3 linked regions of the Coturnix japonica genome follow. The protein of the gene in region 3 purifies or fractionates together with the protein of the main gene of each other region. This does not show direct contact. Links are inferred from orthologs where the notes say so. Each region holds a gene or a part of one and is shown on either strand. Other genes may lie near its edges.

What was found.
Region 1: the proteins of RPL7L1 (region 3) and PES1 purify together in Homo sapiens (affinity purification with mass spectrometry; 4 studies listed by BioGRID and IntAct, counting the BioPlex papers as one, with this or other methods). This does not show direct contact. The link is inferred for Coturnix japonica from reciprocal best matches to the Homo sapiens genes RPL7L1 and PES1.
Region 2: the proteins of RPL7L1 (region 3) and REXO4 purify together in Homo sapiens (affinity purification with mass spectrometry; 3 studies listed by BioGRID and IntAct, with this or other methods). This does not show direct contact. The link is inferred for Coturnix japonica from reciprocal best matches to the Homo sapiens genes RPL7L1 and REXO4.

The regions. Positions count from the first base shown.
Region 1 is NC_029530.1:9,612,738-9,616,640, reverse strand, and holds the end of PES1 (pescadillo homolog), read right to left. Parts: intron 3,845-3,903; coding exon 3,767-3,844; intron 3,484-3,766; coding exon 3,394-3,483; intron 3,194-3,393; coding exon 3,063-3,193; intron 2,925-3,062; coding exon 2,799-2,924; intron 2,622-2,798; coding exon 2,437-2,621; intron 2,322-2,436; coding exon 2,164-2,321; intron 2,002-2,163; coding exon 1,834-2,001; intron 1,271-1,833; coding exon 1,184-1,270; 3' UTR 610-1,183; downstream 1-609. UniProt on the Homo sapiens protein: Component of the PeBoW complex, which is required for maturation of 28S and 5.8S ribosomal RNAs and formation of the 60S ribosome.
Region 2 is NC_029532.1:5,445,137-5,449,514, reverse strand, and holds the start of REXO4 (RNA exonuclease 4), read left to right. Parts: upstream 1-1,571; 5' UTR 1,572-1,611; coding exon 1,612-1,788; intron 1,789-2,017; coding exon 2,018-2,472; intron 2,473-2,742; coding exon 2,743-2,898; intron 2,899-3,060; coding exon 3,061-3,254; intron 3,255-3,418; coding exon 3,419-3,507; intron 3,508-3,827; coding exon 3,828-3,902; intron 3,903-4,378. Other genes in the region: ADAMTS13 (A disintegrin and metalloproteinase with thrombospondin motifs 13), read right to left, coding at 617-683, 991-1,065.
Region 3 is NC_029519.1:48,832,469-48,836,560, forward strand, and holds the start of RPL7L1 (60S ribosomal protein L7-like 1), read right to left. Parts: upstream 2,837-4,092; 5' UTR 2,750-2,836; coding exon 2,736-2,749; intron 2,600-2,735; coding exon 2,491-2,599; intron 1,490-2,490; coding exon 1,326-1,489; intron 1,161-1,325; coding exon 1,023-1,160; intron 528-1,022; coding exon 418-527; intron 186-417; coding exon 1-185.

The sequences.
Region 1 (3,903 bases), on a different chromosome or scaffold from region 3:
GGTGGGGATGGAGGCTGTGCTGGGTGTGGGGCTGGGCCTGGAGATGCTGCAAGGGGGGAATGAGAAGGAGAGGGGAAAAAAGGAAGGAAACGAGGGGAAAAAGGAGGAAAGGAGGGGGAAAAGGGAGGAAAAACTGAACAGGGAGGAGCAGAAAGCAGCAGAGGAGCTCAAAAATGAACTTACACCACAATGGTGGTTCCAAGCTCCTAACTGGATCTGATAAAACCCAGTGCTGCTCTGTGAGGCTCAGGATGTCCTGCAGGCTCTGCTCACACTGCACACTGCTGGGCAGCCCTCCATGCTGCTCCCAAGGGATGGTGGAAGCAGCTCCATGCTCTCTGGGTGCCCCTGGGCTGTGCCTCCCCAATGCAGGAACCCACACCAGGCCCTGGGAGGCATCAGCAGCCAGCAGGGATAAATCAGGGCCTGCACAGAGCTGGAGCAGGGCATGGAGCACAGTGAGAAGGTGTGAGAACACAGTGCTACGGAGCTTGGGGGCTGAGGAGTCACCTCCAGCCCTGAGTGATTCATGGGTTAAGCCACAGCTCTTGGTCAGGCCCGAGGTTTGGGCACACAGCACTGCCACAAGGGTACAGACAACACACAGCATGGGGGAAGCATCAAGTTTAATTAAAAACATAACGAAGTTGCAATACAATAGAAGTGTGGTGGTGGAGAGCAGCTCCGTTCTCTGGGAGGCGGGTGGGCTCCTCTTCCATGCTGAGCACAAATCCGGCTCCTCCTTGTGCTGGACACACCACCCCTCTGAACACAACCCAGCAAGGCCAGCAGCCCCCAGGGCAGGTGGGACAGTCTGCACATCTCAGGGCTGTGGGTGTGCAAGGTGAACAGAGCCAGAGGGAGGCAGCTGCAAGAGCTCACAGCTCCCCTTGGCCTCCTGTTCTTCCTGCCCTGAGGTTGCTGAAAGAGCACAAAGAGGACATTGCTCACATAGCTGACCCTCAGGACAGGCAACTGCATCTACAATCACTCCTCCATTTCCTGCATGGATGGAGTCCTGGGTAAGGCACAGCAGGAGGTGTAGTTACTGATGGGCAATAGTTTAATGTAGTATTTCTGTCCCATGAGGAAAGCTGAGGGTTTTTCACCCACACATGATGGTCTCTGCAGCCATTGCAGCCAGGCAGGAGGGTTATCCCCTCCTCAGTGTCCCAAAGTCTCATCAGGCTCGTCGTGCCTTCTTGCTTTTCTTTTTCTCCTCTTTCATGGCAGTGTCGTGGGCTTTCCTCTTGGCTGCCAGTTTGTTTGCCTGCACAGAAACACAACCCGAGAGCCACGGTCAGCCCTGTCCCCACACACCAAGACCTGCTCCAGCCTCAGACCCACTGAACTGTTCTGACAGCGGGGGATGGAGACAAGCAGAGATGCCCTGAGCTTCACTTGCTGGCCACACACTAAGGCCCCAGGCAGGCACAGGGAGTTCTGCTCAAGGAGTTTGAATGCCTGCAGCCTGGTAATGCTGGGGAAGAGGCCTGTACAGTCTCAGCCTTGTGTACCTGAGGTCAGCATCCTCACTGCCTCACCATGTACAGAGAGGAAATGAAAACCCAAAACATGCAGCATGGGAGCAGTCTATGATGTGCATGGAGGGGATTCAGCTCTGACCAGCCCCACAGCAGGGCAGGAAGACAGGAGCTGCAAGGCTATGGGCAAAGCTCCCTCCTACAACCAGAGCTAGGGAGGCACAGGCCTCAGAGGTCACTCCATCCTCACAAGATGAGGACAGACCATGATATGTGATCTTTAGCTGCAAACTGCTTTGGGAAGACCTAGCACAGGGATCCATGGTTTGGAGCATCCCTACACTCGTACCTCTCGGATTTTGCGTTTCTTTCCAAACATGATCTTCTTGTAGAGGTATTTCTCCCTTTTCTTCATCATCATGATGGCCAGGCGCTTCTCCTCGCTTTGCTGCTCCTGTTCCAGGCGCTGCTTGTCCTCCAGCTTCACTTTGCCAGCAGTCACCTTCACGGGAAGAGCCTGCAGAGAGCAGAGAGCTCAGGGCTCTGTGTGCCAGGAGCCGGGCCTTCCCCAGGGGCACTTCCACACTACTCAGTGGAAACACAAGAGACACAGCATCCTCTCTGGTTGCCCCGAATGGGTGGCAGAGGGACAGTGGCATCCCATTGCCATGCACTGCACCTTGTTGTTGCTCTGAGTCTTCTGCTCTTCCATCTTCTTCAATTTAATCTCCTCTTCCTTTTCGGACTCATCTTCCTCCTCCTCTTCCTCATCTTTATCATTGTCATCCTCCTCTTCCTCTCCCTCCTCTTCTTCCTCCTCCTCCTCACTTTCTTCCCCTATAAAGAGATCACTGTTACTGACCATGGAACACAGTGGCCCTGCAGCAGACAGAGCTCTGCTGAAGCTGCAGCACTGCCTGGATCCTCTCCAGCTCTGGGAGCTTCACATCACCTGGGTCCTCGCCTCGCTGCATGGCCAGCAGCTTCAGCTTCTCTGGAGGGATATAGTCTCCTTCCTGCTCTGTCACGAAGGGCGAGAGGTGTGGGGGCAGCAGCACACCGGGGAAATAATCGGCTACAGGGAGACACAGCTTGGCATTGACTGAGTCAAAAACCCACTGAGGCTGCAGATAATACCTATGGGCAGAGGGATATGGGGCTGGAGGTCAGACACTGCCTTCCTGCCCCATGCTCTAGTGTCCAAGGGGCTGCAAGATTGCAGTGGGGAAGGTTGGGAGCAAGCGGAGCAAGGGGGAGTTCAGAAACAGCCATCAGCCCAAGATGGCCATTCTGAGGACAGGACACCTGGCTCACCTGCCCACAACCTGCTGCTCAATCCGGGGCCGGTCAACTATCTGGTGGGTGATGGATGGGTCACTCACATCATAGGTGGCACCAATGCACAGGGACTTGTCCCAGGACACTTGGCCACCAAAGCACCTGCCAGTCAAACACATCAAGCGGTCGGTCACACAGCTGACACTCTCAGGGTCATGGTGGCCTCAGCAGTGCAACTGGAGAGGACAGGGAAGGACAGCACAAGGTGGCAGAGCTGCAGGAACCCCTCCCACCACATACCGGATGATGAAGGCCAGGGGCTCTCGAGGCACCTCCCTGTTGAGGAAGAAGCGTAGCCCTTCAAACAGCTTTTTGTGCTTCTCCAGGGCCTCCTGCTCCTTCCTCCTTGCATCCATCTGCTCAGCAGTCTCCTGCTCAGGGGCAAAACAGTCAAGTCTCTTCCCTACATGCAGCACAGCCAAGCCCCTCTCTGCTCTCAGTCACTGTCCCCATCCTCCTGCCAGTCCCCCCCAGTCCCACACTGGGCACAGACAGCCTTCTCTCAGCCATAAGACGTGATGAGGACAAGACAGCACATGGTGTGGCTCAGGCCTGGCCACCAGGCTCTTACCCCCTCCACAGGGAACTCATCCATCTCCACATCATCCTCTTGGGCTGGTGCCACCACACGTGCCAGGCTGGAGCTCAGAGCCGACAGTTTCTGCAACCAGAGGAGACCAAGATGTAAGGTTCAGCCAGAGCTTTAGGAATGGGAAAGGAGCAGGCTCACAGAGGGAGCCCCAAGACCAAGCACAGCTCCTCCTCCAGCGACAGCAAAGGGATGAGAAGCTGGGATCTCCATCATGCATGGGTCAGGCTCTGCTCCTCAGCCCCTGCACCACGGCCCCAGACCAGGAGGGGTCCCCAGCCAGGGCACTGAGGACACACAGCATCCTTGCATGCAAAGTCCTCACGCTGACCATAGTGGCAGCAGAGCCCCTCACCTCCAGGTAGCTCTCTGAATCCATGGCATACTCCTTGCCTTCCACAGGCTTCAGCTCAACCTCAGCCTGGCCATCGATCTAGAGACAAACAGAAAGGTGGGGGGACAGCTCCCAGACATGCTTTGCACAAACATCCT
Region 2 (4,378 bases), on a different chromosome or scaffold from region 3:
ACAATAGCTCTGGAACTGGCTCCTGAATGACCTGTGCTTCTCTCCCTCGTCAATGAGAACAGTTCATTTGGCAAAGGCTGAGATAGATTTGCTCCCTCAGACGTTAAATATTACTGAGAATTACCATAACCCGAACAGAGGTGCTGGGAACAGCAGTAGGTGAACTCACAAAGTGACAGCATCCTTGCTTTAAGAATGTGACAGTTCAAAATGTACCTTTATGCTGAACTATCCAGAACAATCCAGACCTAGAACGTTCCACCTGTGCATTTCAAAACGTTAACAAGTGCACTTAAAGCTGTTCTCAGTCTATGCCTTCCCATTCAGATGACTTAGATCTGTTAACCTTGTCGAAAAATACTGGTACAGAAAATAAGGACCACGGATGGAAAAGATTTATCACAGCTCCTTAAGCAGATTTTAAACACTGGCCCAGTTCTTCAATTGCTTACACACTGAGACATGGATTACCTCACCGAGCAACGCAACTCAGAAATGCTAAATACTTGTCAGAGCAGGGTTAGTTAATAAGTGTTCTTAGCGTTATCAAATGTACGGGATTAGGAATAAACTGACAAATGTGTTCCAAAATCAAGAAGGAAAGAGCTCTGCATACCATCAGACGCTGAGCTGGTTCCAAAATAAGAGAAAACATCGTCTGCATCCAAAGCTCTGAGAAACCTCTGCAAGAAGAAGGATAGCTTTACGTTTTTTAGGGAAAACAAATGGACACAAAGTTATTATTTAACCGAAACGAACCTGGAAGGGACGTCAGCAAACAATTTAACAAGTATGGATGCCAAGGTCTAATGGTTTTATTTTGCACTAAGCGTACGCTGCACAACGGCCACCCGGAGGAAATAGCTTTATCTTCTTGATTAGTGAAGTCTGATACATCTTGGCTTAGAACACGGTGTGTTTTCTCTTCTTTTTTTCCTAGAAATAAAACAAGGCTTCCTGGAAACGGAGCTTTCTGGAGGTCAGGCTTACCTCTTGGAGGATGGAGGGCCAGCAAAACCCCAGAGGGAACATTATGAGTACTCGGATGGTCAGACTGATGATCATGCTGGAGGGACTGCAAGCAGTGCTGCAGAGCAATCTCTGGCCCAGGGGTGATTAAAATGCTTGGTCTGAGGCATCACGTGGAACGGAAGCAAAGCATGCAGAGTTTAAATAAACAGGAGAGATGATCGACTGCAGAGGGGGACAGTCGAGGGGGAATTGAACTGCTGTGGGAGGATTTACAGGAACAGCTGGAGAGGGAGAGCTTTTTGCACAACATTTGCAACTTCATTACAGCCAAGGAGCGCAGCGAAGAGAAGCAGCTTCGGGCCAACTACAGCAGCCAAATAAACAAGGAGTAATTTGTGCGGGGTAAGGGCTCTGATTTGTTGAACTCCGCGTTCCTGCTCGCCAAACCTCAGCACAGACTGAGCACTGTGATTCAGGGCGATGTCCCGCAGGACGCACACCCCGCTCCATGCACCGCTGGCTTCTCCCCTCTGTTGACCACCAGGGGGTGCCCGCACAGCCCCGGCCCCGCAGCGGAACGCAAAGCTCGATCCGCCGTTCCCCGCCGGGTGCTGCACCGTTTCCCCGCCGTGGTTCCGCATGGCGAAAGCGGATCCCGAGGGGGCGGCCGGTGGGAAGGGTCGGAGGAGGAAAGGCCGGCGGGGCAGCGGGCAGCAGGCGGGGATGGCCGCGCAGAATGGCCCGAAGGCGGCCACGGTGGCGGCCATACCCCGCAGCCCGCAGGAGTTCTCCTCCAACTGGAAGGCGCTGCAGGAGGTGAGGGCGAGCAGGGCTGGATGCCGGGCTCTGCATTAACTCGGTTCCGATCTGGGTGTAATCATTTAGAAGGACTTTTTATGTGTAATAATAACCCGCGGGGGATGGGGCGTTGCAGCCAGCCAGAGCCCTGCTCTGCTTCAGTGATATCGGGGGAGAATTGATGATGATCAAGGAGATAATCCCTCTCTCTCTCCTTTTCCCCCCCTCTTTTCTTTGGCTCTTTTAGCTACTGAAGCAGAAGGCAAGTGCCTCGAATGAGACTCTCCCTTCATCTCAAACATCCACCAAGAAGCAGCATCCACTCAAAGAGGGAAACAGCCAACAGGTCCCAGCTGGCACTGGGGATCAAAACGTGTTGAAACCCAAATCCACAAATAAAAAGGACGGGGGTCTGAATGCACACAGCCCTCCTGTGGGCAAGGTGAAACACAAGAAGGCTGCAACTGACAAGAATTCAAAGCCTAAACACACAGATCAGAGGGCCAAGAGTTCTGCTGATGGTGGCGCTCCTATGGCTGAGCCCAAAGGCAGGAGAGATGAGAAGGACAAGAGTGTGAACGGCATCAAAAGCAATGGGAAGGGCTGCAAAGAGAAAAGGAAAAACGGCAGCATTGAAAAGGAGAAGAGCGACGTGAAACATAAGAAGAGGAAAGCTGACGATAAAGCACAGCAGCCCAAAGAGTGAGTACTTCAAGCATCAGCACATGGTAATGTATTCTAGGAGGTGTACAATGAAATACGTTCCAAATAGCTGTGCTCTTCCAGGCTAGAATGTGGGCAACAGAAGATGAATGCTGCCCCTCCTCACAATAAATCTGCATAGATAACAGCATAGACTACTTTTGAGATAGCTGCTTTCTTGATTTTAAAAGATAAATGTGCTTTTTGTGCATGGTGGAGATGCACTGTCACTTTAAGACTATTTAACACAGTTAAATTTATACTTACCAGGCCCGACATCTGGTTTGATGATGTTGATCCAAATGATATTGAAGCAGCAATAGGACCTGAAGCAGCAGAAGTTGCTAGAAGGAAAATGGGACTTGAAACAGGCCAACCCAAACGGACTGTGGAGCAGGTGCTGGTTAAAGAGAAGTCTTCTGGAGGGTGAGTGGTGTTCCAAGCAGGAGACACAGCAGCAGAGGCATCACAATTAGCTTGTAATGGCTGTAGACAAAGTTTAAGCTGACATCTGAGTCTGCTGCTCGCAGCTCTGCTGTGTGGTCCCTGTAAAGAGATGCGTCACTGAGTTGTCTTTTTCTTTTTCAGCCTTACAAGAGCTGTAGCTATGGACTGTGAGATGGTGGGAGTGGGACCCAACGGCGAAGACAGCATTGTGGCTCGTGTGTCCATTGTGAACCGGTTTGGAAAGTGCATTTATGACAAGTATGTCAAGCCTACAGAAGAGGTGACGGATTACAGGACAGCTGTTAGCGGCATACGACCTGAGCATCTAAAGACAGGTAGGCTCTTGTAACAAGCTGAGGGTTGATTGTACAGCACAAACTTGTGTAACCACAGTCCCATAAGGTATAACGCTGTCTTCACAACAAAGATGCCATATTCTGGTTGTAGGTTGCTTAGATGTTTTGTGTGTCTAATGCCAAGTGTTCCATCTCATCTTTAGGTGAAGACTTTAAAACAGTTCAGAAGGAGGTCGCTGATATCTTGAATGGAAGGATATTAGTTGGGCATGCATTACACAATGACCTAAAGGTAACACAGCTGCAGATTTGTTGCTATGAAGACAAAGCTCCAAACACTGAAAATCAGTGAATTTATTATTCATCTTCCTGGATCAGTCAAATAACACACCTAAACTCATAGGAACTGCTGCTTTTTAGCTGTTAGCTCAGTTTCTTGTCCTCTCACATTGTACCAAGTGTAGCCCTGTTTGCTGGCACACCAAGTTCTTCAGCTTGCACACTGATCTTAATAGCACTGATTTAGATGCTGAAGAGCAGGAAGCTGTGTATTCAGCTGTATCAGTTTTTGTGTAGCATCACTCTTTACGCTGGAAATGTGATTTCTTTCAGGTCTTATTCCTTGATCATCCTAAGAAGAAAATGCGCGACACGCAAAAATACAAACCTTTCAGACAGAGAGTCATGGTAAGAAAGTGATGGAAAGGAGTACCTTGATTAACTGACACCAGAGCTGCCGACTCCCAGCTTTTAGCCCACTCACTCCTGTGCTTGCCTCACTTGTCCCCATTTCTTCTTTCCAACCTGAAACAGAGATATCAACTTTTTGTTGGTTGAAAATACCAGTCTAACTGAATGCTTGGTTACTGTTTGAAGTATAGCAGTGTTACTTTGTTAGCTGTAAGTATTACCTGTAATACCTCTGCACAAGGTTCAGCAGTCCTCCCACTCCTTAGCATGTACATGGTCTTCATAACGCTCTTCTGGAATAGCAAAATAAGATTTTACATTTATAGTAAGGACACTGGATACTCTTAATAGTGTCATTTGCACATGGATATTAAAAAAATAGATGGTTTCAAGTTTCTACTTGGACTCCAGAAGAAACAGCATAGGACATTATTTTACTTTTCATAACTACATACTCTGTTTTTCACAGTAAA
Region 3 (4,092 bases):
GTTGATTCCTTCACCTCTGCAGCCAGGCTTACCCATCTCCTTGAGAAACCCCACTTTATTACGTGCAGCATAGCGGGCCACTGACAGCTGGAACGGCCATAGGAAGTCTGAGACATTTCTGAAGTACTTCCCAGCTGAGTAGATTTCATGAATAAGGTCTTCCAGGCAAATAATACCACAGTTCCCTGCAGGAAAAAATAACCGCAAAGTACAATGAACAAGACATGCAACACGCAGCAGACACACACCACCCATAGAGATGTGCAGCTATTCCTTCACACAACCAAGAATCCCCAGATCTCTATATAAAAGTCTTGCACAATTTTTCCTCCCTCCCTTTTCTCTAAGGTCAGACTGCAAACTCTCAACATCTCCCTTAACCACAGCTTCACTTTGTTTTCTTATCTTACATCTTACCTAAATGTTCCTCTATCAACATATTGTCCGTCAGAGGTACCCTCTTCTTGTTAACCTTTCCTTGGCCCCGTTTCAGAATGAGCTCTCGTACAGATTTCAGATTAGGATACCTGCACAAAAACAAGAAATCAGACTAAAAAGTGGAGAGTCCCACTCTATTGCTTCACACTGAAGTTGGGAAGTAGCCATAGTAGCTTTAGAGTGATAAATATCAACAAGTTTTAGATGTGAAGTCAGTGAATTTTTGACCACTTACTGGAGAAGGCAGCTACAAATCAGAAAGCCATGATATTTACAAATTTACATGGCCTCAAGCTGCGCCAGGGCAAGTTTAGGTTGGATATTAGGAAGAACTTCTTTACAGAAAGGGTAGTTAAGTATTGGAATAGGCTCCTCAGGGAGGTGGTTGAATCGCCATCCCTGGTTGTATTTATGAGCCGTTTGGATGTGGTGCTCAGGGATATGATTTAGTGGAGGGTTTTTAGAGTTAGGGTTCTGGTTAGGCTGTGGCTGGACCTGATGATCTTCAAGGTCTTTCCCAACCTGGGTAATTCTATGATTACAAAGAAACTGCTACAAAACCATGTGACTCACGCAGTACTTACCCCCAGGCCACATAAGGTTCTACGATCTGCAGCATCTTCAGCGATAATGGAGACAGTTTAACAAATGTCCCACTGTAAATTCTTTTCAGTCGCAGCGAGTTGATCACTTTTTTTACCCTCAGACTCACTCCTTTAATCCTTAAACATAAAAACATTCCATTAATAACCACATTTCTTTAACACAGTACCAAATGGCCTCAGCTTACCTGCAGAGACACAAGTAGCTAGATTGCACTTCCTTTGCTTAGAAGGGATGTGACATTTACAGATAATAGCAATAACAGAAGTAACAAGGTTTCTTACTCTGCAATCCGCACAACAAAGGCCAGTTTGTGCTCCTTAGGTACAGCCACCTGCCGAGGTCGCTGCTCCATGCGCCTCAGCCTGACGTCATCTCGGCATTGGCGCCATGAATCTCGAACAAAAGCCTCAAGGCGTTTAAACTGGATTTGTTTTCCCTTCTGGATCTAAAGACAAAAGGAGAAGGAACGATCACCCTCCTCAACAATCCTAGAAGCGGGTAACTCAAAGGTCAGATGAAATTCTGAACTTCATGCACCACGCTCTTTTATTTTTGGAGACAGTAGTAAAATACATTTGAAAATCCAAGCCTCCAAGATGCAAAACTCAGGGACAACATACAAAGTTGTAGACTATAAGCAATGGGCTGTGACTTCCAGAGAACAGGGAGGTTTTACATGGAAGGAAATAAGTTAGGAAAGACACAGAGCAAGACTCAATGTGATTGCAGGCATAGGAGAAATCAAACAAACACAGCCACTTACACATGGCTTGGTCAGCTCAAAGAAAGCCAGAAGCAACATGTATTACAAAACAGCCACCAATAATCCACCATCACTCAAAATAACCACCAAAAAGAAAATAACTTGTTTTTTTTTTTTCCAATTTAAAAGTTTATATGTTTGTTCTCAGTTCAGGATCAAGTACACCCACCGACATCACAGTGCTTTCTCATGTGAGAAGGTGCACAGCAGCCACCCAGCTGCACTTCAGATACATTACTAGCTAAACACTAAGCCACTTCCAAACTAAAGAACACACTGTACATCTTCGGTTCTCTTCCATGTTGGAAACCATCTGTGAAATCAGGCTGCATTTTCCAAGCAGGCAGAGACTTGACTCCCATCATTATGGTCATTTTTACTAAGGAGAATCTTAACAAGTGGCTACTGCACATTATTACTGAGGCTTCCCCTTCTCCCTGGGGAACATTGCTCCACATGCTTACAAACACACTCGTGGTATCCAACAAAGAACAGAAGAGGTTTTAATGCGGCCCCACGAACACCACAGGAGCAGATTCCCTCAGCAAGCCCTATGCCACTTCTGAGGTAGGCCCCTGCTGCTGGCTGTCAGAACAGAGCAGGTCCCCAGCTATTAAATTGTTCTTAAATTAAAAGGTAAGCGAGGACAGCGCTCCGCCCCGTCCCAGCCCCGCGGTCCGCACCTTGCGCTTGTTCTGCAGTGCTAACTTGGCCTGGGTGGCCTTGATGGCCTGGTAGGCCTTCCTCCTCTTCAGCAAGTTCTCCGGCACCAACGGGATCCGCCGCTTCTGCCTGCGGGCGGCAGAAACCGGTCACGCTCAGCGCCTGTCACACCCCCCGCCGCTGCCCCGACCCGCTCCCCGTTCCCGCAGCCGCCCGCTCCCGGCCGATGGCGGCAGATCCGCGCTCCCGGCAGCTCCGCACTCACTCCGGCTCCGCCATCTTGTCGCCGCCGCCGCCGTAGAGGAGGTGGCGGGCAGCGCATGCGCCGCTCTAACAGGTTTGCCCCGCCTCTCGTCCTCCATAGGGATGAACCGGAAGAGCCGGGGTGTGTGTGGGCAGGGAAGGGCCGGGCCTGTGGGCTGTGTGCGCTGTGTGCGCTGTGGGGGCAATGTTAAACCCAAAACAGCTGCCCAAAACTCAAAACAACCTCTCCCTGGCTGCCCACAGTGAGTCTAGACACCAGGTCAGCCTCTACCTGTGCATGCTGCTTCATCTCCGCTCTGGTAAAGGCTTGGGAGCCCTGCATCTTTAACAGTAAATACAAAAGAAATCCTTTAAACATCAGAGGAGCCTTTAGAGACTGCTCTAGGATGTAACTACTTGTAGATCTGAAACTGCCACCTCACTTTCTGTTTGCAGTCATGAGGTTTCGGCGTGCACTTGCTATGTCTGCTAACCACACAGCCCTTCATAGCATAGATAGTCCTGCCAACAGCTGGCAAGGGGTACCTCTGTTTTTCTTACTTTTCTGACTGTGTCAGGGAAGCTATGCCCTCACATATAAACCCTTGGAGTACCATTGCCAGTTAAACTGAGAAAGGAAAATCATTTTTCCTGAGTATCAGTTAATTTCTAGCATCAGCAAGAATGCCTGTCCCAGCTGGAGCCAGAAAGAAAGGACTGATCCTGCCAGGCTCGGACAAACACCGCCTGTGCCCTGCAAATGTCCAATGAGAGCAACTGTGTTCTGCTGATCCTCAGTAAGGGGGCATTTTGTTGATAATGGAGCCAAAGGTTTGAAGAGGAAACAACTCAAACACAGGGAAAGCGTATCTAGAGAAAACGGATGTTGCTGATGCAGTATGTCCTGACGTTAGAGCGTCAATAGCCCTTCTATTGTAGCACAGTGATTCCTTGGTAACATTCCTAACACACGCTATAAAAAGAAGCAAAGACATGGAGGGAGGTCCCGACGGGTTGGACAACAGACTCACCCGTAGATGGTGCCCTCACCTCACACTAGGAAGATGCTGCATCTGATGGGGCAGCGCTGCTGTTCTGCAGCCCCCTCTGACATAAATGGGATGTGTGCCTGCACACCGGATGCGTTAATTTTGTTGCAACTGTACTCATTTGATTTACACCACTGATGTGCTGTTAACTTTTCAGCTACACAGCTGAGAATCAGAGCCTTGCACTAAAAAGCTCTGAGATGTCAAAGTTTAACAGCTTCACCTCAAAGACACTGCAAACATTTACAGTATTAAATTAGGCCACTCAAAGTTTGATGCTTCATAAATTAATACCTGTATTTAGAAATGGGAGCCCATAGTCCAGCATGT